3 linked regions of the Macaca mulatta genome follow. The protein of the gene in region 1 purifies or fractionates together with the protein of each later gene. This does not show direct contact. Links are inferred from orthologs where the notes say so. Each region holds a gene or a part of one and is shown in the gene's direction. Other genes may lie near its edges.

Region 1 (4,378 bases):
TCAATGGATATAACATACCTGTATATATATATTTTTCTTATCTTGAGATTTATTAAAGTATTTGTGACCTAATGAGTTTGAAATGCTGTTAAATGTTCAAATCAGTGGTTCTTTGGTGGCTGCTTGGTAGAGGGTGGGGGTAGGGGAATAATTTTTTGTGTGGTTTAACCTAGAGTTAGAAATATATAGATAAATTTGAAATTATTTCTTCTATTTTTCAAGTTCTCTTTCTGAGCATTGCTACATCTTTATTGCTCTTATTTAATCTGTAATGAAATTAGGTAAATATGTCAATGTTTGCCACTACTATTATGTGCCTGTCAATTTCTACCCATACTCTTCCCCAAAATACCTTTCTGTAGTGCATACTTACAAAAATCATCAGAAAATTCAAAATCTTATGAAAGTAGAAAATAAGAATTATTCATAATTTCAGCAAACAGTACTAACAGCCATTAACTTATTTGTGTATAGCCTTTCAGATTTTTTTACACATACGGTTTACATATACAACTAACTGTTCAAAAATTGCTTTTAAAATAAAAATATATTGTATTTTTGATATTGGAACATACATTCTTATATAGTTTTTAACTGTACAGAAATATACAAAGGCAAAATTGAAAATAATCTGTGATTTCCCTATAACTACAGTTTAGTTCATGTATACCTTTAAAGACACTCTATATTTTCTTGTATGGTAATATTATGTGCTCGACTAATCTTATGTAAACAGATATTTAATATATTTAAATAACGTTTTAAATGCTACAATGTATATACATTTTATACATAAATAGTTTTGCATCCTCATACGATTATTAGGCGAATTGTCTAGGTTAGGCATTTCTAAATAAAGGTGTAAACATTCAAAATGCTGATATATATTTTCAAATTGCCCTATGGTTGTAACAATTCACACTTCAACTAGCCTGAGAGTGCATTTTTTAGGGTCCCTGTCAACAACAAGGTTTATCATTATTTTTTTTCCCTGCCAATATGATAAGCCAAAAGTAGAATTTTATTGTTTTAACTTGAATTTTTTTTTATTGCTAGTGAAATTAATCATCTTTTTTAAAATGTCTATTGGCCATTTGCACTCCTTTTGTAAAATGCATGCTCCTGCTCTGTCTTCTTCCCTTCCCCCATTGGGGGTGTTCCTCTTTCTTTTTGCTTTGTCAGAGTTCTTTATTATTCATTTTTCGTCTTATATGTGGGATCGGTTCGATTCAGGCTTTCACCCTTTTACTGCCTTACAGATTGCTAATATACATTCTCCATTGGTCTTTTAATGTGGTTTACAGAAGCTGACTCTCTACCGCCTCCTTCTCTCCGTCCCACCCTCTGCCTCGCCTGCTCTGTACTGTTCTCTTCTCTTCTCTCTCTCTCCCTTTGTTTCGCTCTCTCCCTTTTTTTCTTTTCAGTGCAGAAGTTTTTAATTTTGACCGAGCCAAATCTATCAATCTAGGCCTGGCGCCGCGTCAGCAGAGGGGGCGGGGAGGCGAGCGCCGAACTGGGGGAGGGGAAGGGGCGGGGAGCAGCAGGCGGAGCGGCTGCCAGAGTTGCTGGGAGTGCGCGCGGTCGGATCACAAGGCGGCGGAGGAGGAGGCCCAGAGACCGGAGCGCGGAGACCTCAGCTCGCGGCCTACGCCCAGGCCTTTCTCCACCGGAGGACCAGGGAACCGCAGTCTTCATCAGAGAGGTACCGTGCTCCGCGCTCCCCGCCCGACCCGGCCCAGCCCGCTGCGGCGGCGCCTCCTTCCTTCCTCCTTCCCTCGCTCTCTCTCTTTCGCCCGCCCGCGCCTTCCCTGCCCGCCTGCGTCACCGCGGCCGCCATGGCTGAGAATGGCGAGAGCAGCGGCCCCCCGCGCCCCTCCCGCGGCCCTGCTGCGGCCCAAGGCTCGGCTGCTGCCCAGGCTGAGCCTAAAATCATCAAAGTCACTGTGAAGACTCCCAAAGAGAAAGAGGAGTTCGCGGTGCCCGAGAACAGCTCGGTTCAGCAGTTTAAGGAAGCGATTTCGAAACGCTTCAAATCCCAAACCGATCAGCTCGTGCTGATTTTTGCCGGAAAAATCTTAAAAGATCAAGATACCTTGATCCAGCATGGCATCCATGATGGGCTCACTGTTCACCTTGTCATCAAAAGCCAGAACCGACCTCAGGGCCAGTCCACGCAGCCTAGCAATGCCGCGGGAACTAACGCTACCTCGGCGTCGACTCCCAGGAGTAACTCCACACCTATTTCCACAAATAGCAACCCGTTTGGGTTGGGGAGCCTGGGAGGACTTGCAGGCCTTAGCAGCCTGGGCTTGAGCTCTACCAACTTCTCTGAGCTCCAGAGCCAGATGCAGCAGCAGCTCATGGCCAGCCCTGAGATGATGATCCAGATCATGGAAAATCCCTTTGTTCAGAGCATGCTTTCGAATCCCGATCTGATGAGGCAGCTCATTATGGCTAATCCACAGATGCAGCAATTGATTCAGAGAAACCCAGAAATCAGTCACCTGCTCAACAACCCAGATATAATGAGGCAGACACTCGAAATTGCCAGGAATCCAGCCATGATGCAAGAGATGATGAGAAATCAAGACCTGGCTCTTAGCAATCTAGAAAGCATCCCAGGTGGCTATAATGCTTTACGGCGCATGTACACTGACATTCAAGAGCCGATGCTGAATGCCGCACAAGAGCAGTTTGGGGGTAATCCATTTGCCTCCGTGGGGAGTAGTTCCTCCTCTGGGGAAGGTACGCAGCCTTCCCGCACAGAAAATCGCGATCCACTACCCAATCCATGGGCACCACCGCCAGCTACCCAGAGTTCTGCAACTACCAGCACGACCACGAGCACTGGTAGTGGTTCTGGCAATAGTTCCAGCAATGCTACTGGGAACACCGTTGCTGCCGCTAATTATGTCGCCAGCATCTTTAGTACCCCAGGCATGCAGAGCCTGCTGCAACAGATAACTGAAAACCCCCAGCTGATTCAGAATATGCTGTCGGCGCCCTACATGAGAAGCATGATGCAGTCGCTGAGCCAGAATCCAGATTTGGCTGCACAGATGATGCTGAATAGCCCGCTGTTTACTGCAAATCCTCAGCTGCAGGAGCAGATGCGGCCACAGCTCCCAGCCTTCCTGCAGCAGATGCAGAATCCAGACACACTGTCAGCCATGTCAAACCCAAGAGCAATGCAGGCTTTAATGCAGATCCAGCAGGGGCTACAGACATTAGCCACTGAAGCACCTGGCCTGATTCCAAGCTTCACTCCAGGTGTGGGGGTGGGGGTGCTGGGAACCGCTATAGGCCCTGTAGGCCCAGTCACCCCCCTAGGCCCCATAGGCCCTATAGTCCCTTTTACCCCCATAGGCCCCATTGGGCCCATAGGACCCACTGGCCCTGCAGGCCCCCCTGGCTCCACCGGCTCTGGTGGCCCCACTGGGCCTACTGTGTCCAGCGCTGCACCCAGTGAAACCACGAGTCCTACATCAGAATCTGGACCCAACCAGCAGTTCATTCAGCAAATGGTGCAGGCTCTGGCTGGAGCAAATGCTCCACAGCTGCCGAATCCAGAAGTCAGATTTCAGCAACAACTGGAACAGCTCAACGCAATGGGGTTCTTAAACCGTGAAGCAAACTTGCAGGCCCTAATAGCAACAGGAGGCGACATCAATGCAGCCATTGAAAGGCTGCTGGGCTCCCAGCCATCGTAATCACATTTCTGTACCTGGAAAAAAAATGTATCTTATTTTTGATAATGGCTCTTAAATCTTTAAACACACACACAAAATCGTTCTTTACTTTCATTTTGATTCTTTTAAATCTGTCTAGTTATCAGTCTAATATGATGCATTTTAAGATGGAGTCCCTCTCTCCTACTTCCCTCACTCCCTTTCTCCTTTGCTTATTTTTCTTTCCTTCCCTTCGTCTTGTCTCCCCCCTTCCTCCCTCTTTGTTTCCTTCCTTCCTTATTTCCTTTAGTTTCCTTCCTTACCCGATTTGAATGGTGGGAATCAATGCTGTTTCACTCAAAAGTGTTGCATGCAAACACTTCTCTTTATTCTGCATTTATTGTGATTTTTGGAAACAAGTATCAACCTTCACAGTTGGGTGAACAAGTGTTGTCCTACAGATGTCCAATTTATTTGCATTTTTAAACATTAGCCTATGATAGTAATTTAATGTAGAATGAAGATATTAAAAACAGAGGCAAATTATTTGAAGCTCTCTAATTTGTGGTACGATATTGCTTATTGTGACTTTGGCATGTATTTTTGCTAGCAAAATGCTGTAAGATTTATACCATTCATTGATCTTTTTTGCTATATTTGTATACAGTACAGTAAGCACAGTTGGCACTGTACATCTAAAAATATTACAG
Region 2 (3,595 bases), on another chromosome or scaffold:
GAAGGCTTCAGTTTAGGATAGCTTCACATTATTTTGGAGCACTGCTAGGTGGATTTGGTTAAGGCTGGCCTTGGGAGTACTCTGAGTTTTCTCTGAAACCGAACTCGATTTGGTTGTAGGTGCCCTGTTTGCTGTTTGTTGCTTTTAGTAACAGGAATCAGTTTACCTGGGAGTTAAGAAGTACATTGCCATAGGTTTGGACTGGAGATAATTTGCCTTTTTTTTTTTTTTTTTTTTTTTTTTGAGATAGGGTCTCACTCTGTTGCCCAGGCCGGAGTGCAGTGGCGTGATCTTGGCTCACAGCAACCTCTGTCTCCCGGGTTCAAGTGATTCCCCTGCCTCAGCCTCCCGAGTAGCTTGGGTTACAGTCACAAGCCACCACACCCAGCTAATTTTGCATTTTTAGTAGAGATGGGGTTTCACCATGTTGGCCAGGCTGGTCTCGAACTCCTGACCTCAGGTGATCCGCCCGCCTTGGCCTCCCACAGTGCTTGAATTATAGGCATGAGCCACTGTGCCCAGCCAATAATTTGCCATTCTGTATTTATTTGCATGTTAGAGACCAGTTAAAGACACTTTCTAAATAGAAGTTTTGTATGTGGGGTTTTTGAGCAGGTATTTTCCCGTGATGCTGGGGGGAAACACACATAATCAAATTACTTGTATAAAACAGTTTCTTCTGTGTTTAGGAACTTTTGGGGGTGAAATGCTGACCTGTGTTTTTCTTTCCATGATCAGCGTCCAGAGGACCAGAGGTTAATTTATTCCGGGAAGCTGCTGTTGGATCACCAGTGTCTCAGGGACTTGCTTCCAAAGGTACCTCACTTACACATTAACCTCTGAATGTTTTTAAGCACTCACCAGGTTAGGTTCAGGTCCTTAAGTGCCTTCTTATTACTTTTAGCAGGAAAAACGGCATGTTTTGCATCTGGTGTGCAATGTGAAGAGTCCTTCAAAAATGCCAGAAGTCAGTGCCAAGGTGTGTCTCCTTCTACATGATGATAACAATTTGTATCATTCAGACTTTCAGGGGAGTAATAAAAGAAGTTGGATAAAACTTTTATTGAGAGACTGTATGGTGTTATTACCAAGTAATATTTTGTTTCTTTCCTAGGAATTAGAAACTGTATTATCAACACAAGTGATAGGTTCATAGTAGCAGATTGTTCCATTACTGCTGTAGTGGAAAAGTGGAGTTACATATTGCACTATCTTCTGGGATATGATTTGATCTATGGTTACTGTGTATCGAGATTACTGAACTAACACTGATTGGATTTTTATTGAATTTAGCACATAGCAAGTTTTTTCAAAGGAGCCATTAATTTTTATAAAGAGTACAAAAGTGAATATATTTCCTCTGGAAATTTTCATTATGATTAGTTGGATAGGAAAAGATCAGAGTCTTTATCAAGTGATCTTTAAAGAATTTTTTTTTTTTTAAATATGGTCTTGCTATGTGGCCCAGGCTTTTCTCAACCTCCTGAGGCAAGCGATCCTCCTACCTCAGCCTCCTGAGTAGCTGGGACTACAGGCATGTGTGACTGGACCTGGCTCTAAAGACTTCTATGTGACAGACAAAAACATTTATTTTTCATTTCACAATGTTTATTCACATATATGGTGTTAGTATTCTGGTGTAGTGATGCACTCTAAATTTGCATTATATTTCCTAGAACATCTGAACAGAGCATAGGAAATTCCCTATTTTGCCATTATCAATTCTAACAAAAATCTTAAAAGCACTTTACCATTTCATTTCCCTGCACTGTAATTTTTAAAAAATGATCAAAAACAGTATCATACCAAGGCTTACTTGTATGAGAATACTATTTTAGAAAGTTTGGGCCGGGTTCTATTTATAAATCTTGTTGGTCAGATTTCTGCAATGAGTAAGTTTAACACCATTATCAAGAAGCTTTCTCACCAATGACAACTTCATTGGAAGATTTTAATGAAATTTTAATGAAAGTGTAGCATCGTTACTGTAGGGAAAAAAATGAATATGTTAGCATCTGTGTATTGAAAATTGTGTGTAATAAATGTCAGACTTTTTTACATAATGTTGCTTCTATTTAATTTTGTCACGTTCAGAGGTGGGGGGTAGGAGACATTAAGCCCTTGACAGCAAAATAATTCCTTTCGCTTGATTTCAGACAGTTGCATCAGCTCCCTTGTTCTGTGTTCATGTTACACTTATTTAGGTGGCTGAATCCACAGAGCAGCCCGCTGGTTCTAATCGGGGACAGTATCCTGAGGATTCCTCAAGTGATGGTTTAAGGCAAAGGGAAGTTCTTCGGAACCTTTCTTCCCCTGAATGGGAGAACATCTCAAGGTGAGTGTTATAATAAAGATCTCGGCTTATGCAACGTGAATGTGCCTCATTTGCATCCATTGAAGAGTAAGGTGTGTTTACATGTATATAATCAGAACTTTTAAACCTACAGAATTTTGCTTTACAAATAGCTTCGCTTTAAAGATGTCTTATATATTTAACTTTTCTTAATACACAGCCTTTTAGTATATACAAATTTAAAAAGTAGGCAATGCATATATTGAAAAAAAAATGTAGGTGTTTTATCCTTCCATTGTGCTGGCCACTTGGTTGCCGTCATGCTAGAAAATTGCTGCTGCAGGAGAAAAGCTGTTGTAAGCATTGTGCAGCTGCTTTGCTGAGTGGCTTTGTGCTTTATTGTAACAATGGGTGACAACAAGGGAGAGACTGTTTAAGAAGTATTCTTCCAGAGACTTGGGGGTACTAGGAAAGTTGGCCATTTTTTATAACCATTAAAGCTTTTCTTTAGAGCAAAAGTCAAAACTAAATGCTGTGTTCTTTGGATTTTTATAGCTCTTGGAATACCTTGTTTTTTGGGAAAAATTCATTAACTACAAGTTGAAATTCCATAACTCTCCAATTCCCCATCCCCCTTTTCCTAGTAGTTTTTATATGCAACATTTTATAAAGCCAGGTGTTTCAGGAGTGAGTTTTTCTTTTTTTTTTCCCTTAATGGAACTTTCAAATATAAACAACAGTGGGGACTAGATAATTAATCCCCACACCATCATCCAGGCCTAATAAATAACAATCAGAGTTTTACCATACCTCATCTATTACCTTTTCCCCTTTTTTTTAAAAGTATTTAAAAGTAATCCCCAGTTATGTTATTTCATCCCTATATACTTGAGTATATAACTATGAAAACCTTTTAGTTATCCTGTATATCTAGAATGCCATTATCAGATCTAACAAAAATCTTAAAAGCACTCTATCATTTCATTTCCATGCACTGTAATTTTCTTAAATGATCAAAAACAGTATCATACCAAGGCTTACTTGTATTGGAATACTATTTTAGAAATACTCTGTGTATGGAATTTAGTTAAAAGATTGTCAGCATATAAATTGGATAATTATTGGATAGAAAATTATTGGTTAGAAAAACTTCTTCCCTTATTCTGATTCAACTATTTCTAACTTGAGAATTGAGGCTCGTATTTGACTTTCTGAATCTCACCATAGTTAAACTTGATTTCCTTTAACAAATACTTATTGAACAGCCAGTACATATAACTGTGCTTAAGGATATGAGTTGAC
Region 3 (4,086 bases), on another chromosome or scaffold:
CTTGAACCTAACTGGTAAGTTTTGGTTCTGTTTATTGGTTTTATTTTTAGGATAGACTGTTGCTCTGTTGCCCAGGCTGGCCTACAATGGCTTAATCTGGTTCACCCTCTTAAACTGGCCTTCTTCATGCTTCTATTCCTTTGGGGTCCTGTGGCTCAGCCCAACCCCTCTGGGATGCCTCTAGGACTGGCAGATCCAAGGGAGAATTCTGTTTTTAATGTCGTGAGGCTTTGAAAGTTAACATCTTTAAATACTTTTGGGGTCAGATTGGGGATAGTACAACAAAGTACTCCTGGCGGGAGACCCAGGAATTAAAATAGTAGGTTCATTCCAAAAATCCGGATCCCTAAAGAATGAATGAGGCTACAAAATGGCACCTTGCCCCTGCTACCAATGTAAGGTTTTTTTCCTCTGCTTGGTGGCCTTTCAGGTATTTCTAGTCTTGAGTAACTTCCACTTTGCCCTATCTGCCAGAATAAAACTCAGGGCCAGGTGCAGTGGCTCGTGCCTGTAATCCCAGCACTTTGCCAGGCCGAGGCGGGCGGATTACCTGAGGTCAGGAGGTGGAAACCAGCCTGGCCAACATGGTGAAACCCTGACTCTATTAAGAATGCAAAAATTGGCCGGGCGCGGTGGCTCAAGCCTGTAATCCCAGCACTTTGGGAGGCCGAGGCGGGCGGATCACAAGGTCAGGAGATCGAGACCACAGTGAAACCCCGTCTCTACTAAAAAAAATACAAAAAATTAGCCGGGCGCGGTGGCGGGCGCCTGTAGTCCTAGCTACTCGGGAGGCTGAGGCAGGAGAATGGCGTAAACCCGGGAGGCGGAGCTTGCAGTGAGCCGAGATCGCGCCACTGCACTCCAGCCTGGGCAACAGCGTGAGACTCCGTCTCAAAAAAAAAAAAAAAAAAAAAAAGAATGCAAAAATTATCAGGGCATGGTGGGGGTTCCCTGTAATCCCAGCTACTCGGGAGGCTGAGGCAGGAGAACTGCACGAACCCGGGAGGCAGAGGTTGCAGTGAGCCGAGATCGCGCCATTGCACTCCCGTGACGTCACCGCTAACGGGCATGGCGTCACTTTGGAGACCTCGTGTGCTGGCAGAATGAGAAGCCCCGTCCCCGCCCACGCCCACAACGCGGAGTTTAGTCTGCGCATGCCTCGCTCGACACCGCGCTCGTGCGCATGCCCATAAAGGCCAAGGAGGGTGCGCACAGGTCACGTGCGCCGGTGGTCAGCGCGCGCATCGCCTGCCCCGGAAGTGGTCGGCGCGCGGCGCGGCGCGCCTGGGCGCTAAGATGGCGGCGGCGTGAGTTGCATGTTGTGTGAGGATCTAGGGGCCGCCGCGTCGCTCGGGCCCCGCCATGGCCGTCACCATCACGCTGAAAACGCTGCAGCAGCAGACCTTCAAGATCCGCATGGAGCCTGACGAGACGGTGCGGGCCAGGCCAGAGCCCGGGGGCGGGAGTGACGGGTGCCGGGGATGGGGTGGGGGCGGGGAGACTAGGATCCCAACGGGAGGGGCAGGGAGGACGGCGCGGGTCGGCCCTGTCCAGACCCCCGACCTGCCCGACTTTCCTGGACCCCCCGATGGTCCTTAGCCCGGTCCCCAGCGGATCGGACGGCGCTCCTGGGCCGGTCTCCGGGCGAGGCCCCACCCCCGGGCCTCTGGCCAGGTCCCGGCTCCAATGTCAGCGCTCTCGCGGGGCGCGGGAGTCACAGGCTCGGAGGCCTGGGCAGGCCAAGCTCTCCAGGACTGGGCTCCACGTTCTCAGCTTTGCAGGCTTCTCCTGGGGACACTGGTGGTGGAATCTAGGAGTAATGACCAGGAGATAACGAGTAGTGACGACAACAACGATGTTAATGATAATAAAGGGATCTCAGTCTTTATAATTTTGGTGGTCCGTGTTTTTTGGGCGTTTATTTTTTATCAGTCATCGAGTGTTTTAGTGTTGTTTTACTGCTCTGCAGAACGGGCTTGTCATTGAGGACCTCTGACCATTTTACAGATGTGGAAACCTTGGGGTTAAGGAACTTTGTCACAGTCACACATGTAATGTCAGAGCTGGGATTCACATTCGGTTCTGCCTCGTGTGAGCGTCCACTATATAAATATTATGCTGCCTTTTTAGTCAAAAATAGAATTAGGACCTAATTCAAACATAATGACTATTGGGTACTTGGCACTTTTTGCACAGTGAGGGAGACATTGAAGTCCACTTTTTGTAGAAAAGGAAACACACATTTTTTGATCAGCTCAACGGTTTGGCTTTGGGCAAGTTAACCTCTCTGTGCCTCCATTTTCTCAAAATATCAAATGAACCTGTCGCCTGCTGGCTTCCGCCTGTAATCCCAGCACTTAGGGAGGCAGAGGCAAGAGGAGCGCTTGAGCCTGGGAATTCAAGATCATCCTGGCAACACAGTGAGACCCCATTCTCTACAAAAAGAAGAAACAAAAATAAATAAATAAAAGGAGGCCAATTAAATGTATTTCATAGGAAGCTTAAAAGGTATGCCACATACACACTTACAGTAGCACTATTGGCCAGGCATGGTGCCTCATGCCTCTGTAATCCTAATGATTTGGGAGGCGTAGGCAGGAGGATTGCTTGAGGCCAGAAGTTTGAGACCAGCCAGCCTAACATAAGGAGACTCTTATCTACAAAAATAAATTTTTTTAAAATTAGCCTGGTGTGGTGGTGTGCACCTTTAGTCCTAGCTACTCCCGAGGCTGGGTGAGAGTACCACTTGAGCCCAGGAGTTTGAGGCTGCAGTGAGCTGTGGTCGTGCCACTTCAATCCAGTGTGGGCAACAGTGAGATCCTGTCTTTTAAAAAAGAAATATCACTGTGAACTATTAGTCACTGTTATTGTCCAAGATACAGTGTAGAGTGGGGGACTGTCCCCTTTATTCTGTTATCATACTTTATGCCACCTGAAATTAACATTTTCTTCACATTAGTGTTCTCTCATTGAGAGCAGGGACTTGTGTTATGTTCTGTGCTGTGGCCTCCATGTCTAAAACAGCACCTGGCACGTAATAGGTGTTTAGTATAAATAAATACTATGTTGAATGGCATGATGATTGAATGAATTCTTATCTAGCATGCTTTAGATGCTGAGAAAGCTTAAAAATTCCAGCATGCTTGCCTCTCTGCCATCAGGGCTTGCACCTTCTCCGTCCTAAACTAGAAGAGAGAATCTTGGGGTCTCCAGTGACTGTCTGTACTACTTCTTCTAGGTGAAGGTGCTAAAGGAGAAGATAGAAGCTGAGAAGGGTCGTGATGCTTTCCCCGTGGCTGGACAGAAACTCATCTATGCCGGCAAGATCTTGAGCGATGATGTCCCTATCAGGGACTATCGCATCGATGAGAAGAACTTTGTGGTCGTCATGGTGACCAAGGTGGGTGACGTGTGCTGGCTGGGAGGGATGAGCAGGGGAGCTGGCAAAGAGCCTGTGTGCCCAGGAGAGATTAGCCATGAACAGGGCGGGGCCACAGCAGAGCGGGTTGTTGGGTCTGATAGGGTTGCTGATGCCAGCTCCCTTTTTCTTGCTGTCGCAGACCAAAGCCGGCCAGGGTACCTCAGCACCCCCAGAGGCCTCACCTACAGCTGCCCCAGAGTCCTCTACATCCTTCCCGCCTGCCCCCACCTCAGGCATGTCCCATCCCCAACCTGCCGCCAGAGAGGACAAGAGCCCATCAGAGGAATCCGCCCCTACGACGTCCCCAGAGTCTGTGTCAGGGTAAGGCGGGGCACCAGTCCCAGCTTGGGCCCTGTCTTCCTAGCACATTCCAGTGTCCACATAAGTGGCCCACACACCTGGAGGGAGGGCAAGCCGCCAGAAGCCAGGGTCCGATTTCTCTCTCTTGAATTTGCAGCTCTGTTCCCTCTTCAGGTAGCAGCGGGCGAGAGGAAGACGCGGCCTCCACGCTAGGTGGGTGGGTGGTCCCCAGGGCAGAGGCGACTGGGTGCCCCAGCCATCAGCTGGGCCTTGTCTGGGTGCGGGAGGGCCTGGGAGCTGCCCTTTCCTCTTCCTGGTGACCCAGGCTTTTCTGCTCCCTCCACAGTGACGGGCTCTGAGTATGA

What was found.
Region 2: the proteins of UBQLN2 (region 1) and HERPUD1 purify together in Homo sapiens (affinity purification with mass spectrometry; 3 studies listed by BioGRID, with this or other methods). This does not show direct contact. The link is inferred for Macaca mulatta from reciprocal best matches to the Homo sapiens genes UBQLN2 and HERPUD1.
Region 3: the proteins of UBQLN2 (region 1) and RAD23A purify together in Homo sapiens (affinity purification with mass spectrometry; 3 studies listed by BioGRID and IntAct, with this or other methods). This does not show direct contact. The link is inferred for Macaca mulatta from reciprocal best matches to the Homo sapiens genes UBQLN2 and RAD23A.

Annotation. Positions count from the first base shown.
Region 1 is NC_133426.1:56,539,227-56,543,604, forward strand, and holds the start of UBQLN2 (ubiquilin-2), read left to right. Parts: upstream 1-1,558; 5' UTR 1,559-1,835; coding exon 1,836-3,270; intron 3,271-3,366; coding exon 3,367-3,710; 3' UTR 3,711-4,378. UniProt on the Homo sapiens protein: Plays an important role in the regulation of different protein degradation mechanisms and pathways including ubiquitin-proteasome system (UPS), autophagy and the endoplasmic reticulum-associated protein degradation (ERAD) pathway.
Region 2 is NC_133425.1:52,535,345-52,538,939, forward strand, and holds part of HERPUD1 (homocysteine-responsive endoplasmic reticulum-resident ubiquitin-like domain member 1 protein), read left to right. Parts: intron 1-559; coding exon of another isoform or gene 560-565; intron 566-738; coding exon 739-816; intron 817-904; coding exon 905-979; intron 980-2,204; coding exon 2,205-2,335; intron 2,336-3,595. UniProt on the Homo sapiens protein: Component of the endoplasmic reticulum quality control (ERQC) system also called ER-associated degradation (ERAD) involved in ubiquitin-dependent degradation of misfolded endoplasmic reticulum proteins.
Region 3 is NC_133424.1:13,511,569-13,515,654, forward strand, and holds the start of RAD23A (UV excision repair protein RAD23 homolog A), read left to right. Parts: upstream 1-1,275; 5' UTR 1,276-1,362; coding exon 1,363-1,434; intron 1,435-3,238; coding exon 3,239-3,400; intron 3,401-3,560; coding exon 3,561-3,742; intron 3,743-3,878; coding exon 3,879-3,934; intron 3,935-4,067; coding exon 4,068-4,086. UniProt on the Homo sapiens protein: Multiubiquitin chain receptor involved in modulation of proteasomal degradation. Binds to 'Lys-48'-linked polyubiquitin chains in a length-dependent manner and with a lower affinity to 'Lys-63'-linked polyubiquitin chains.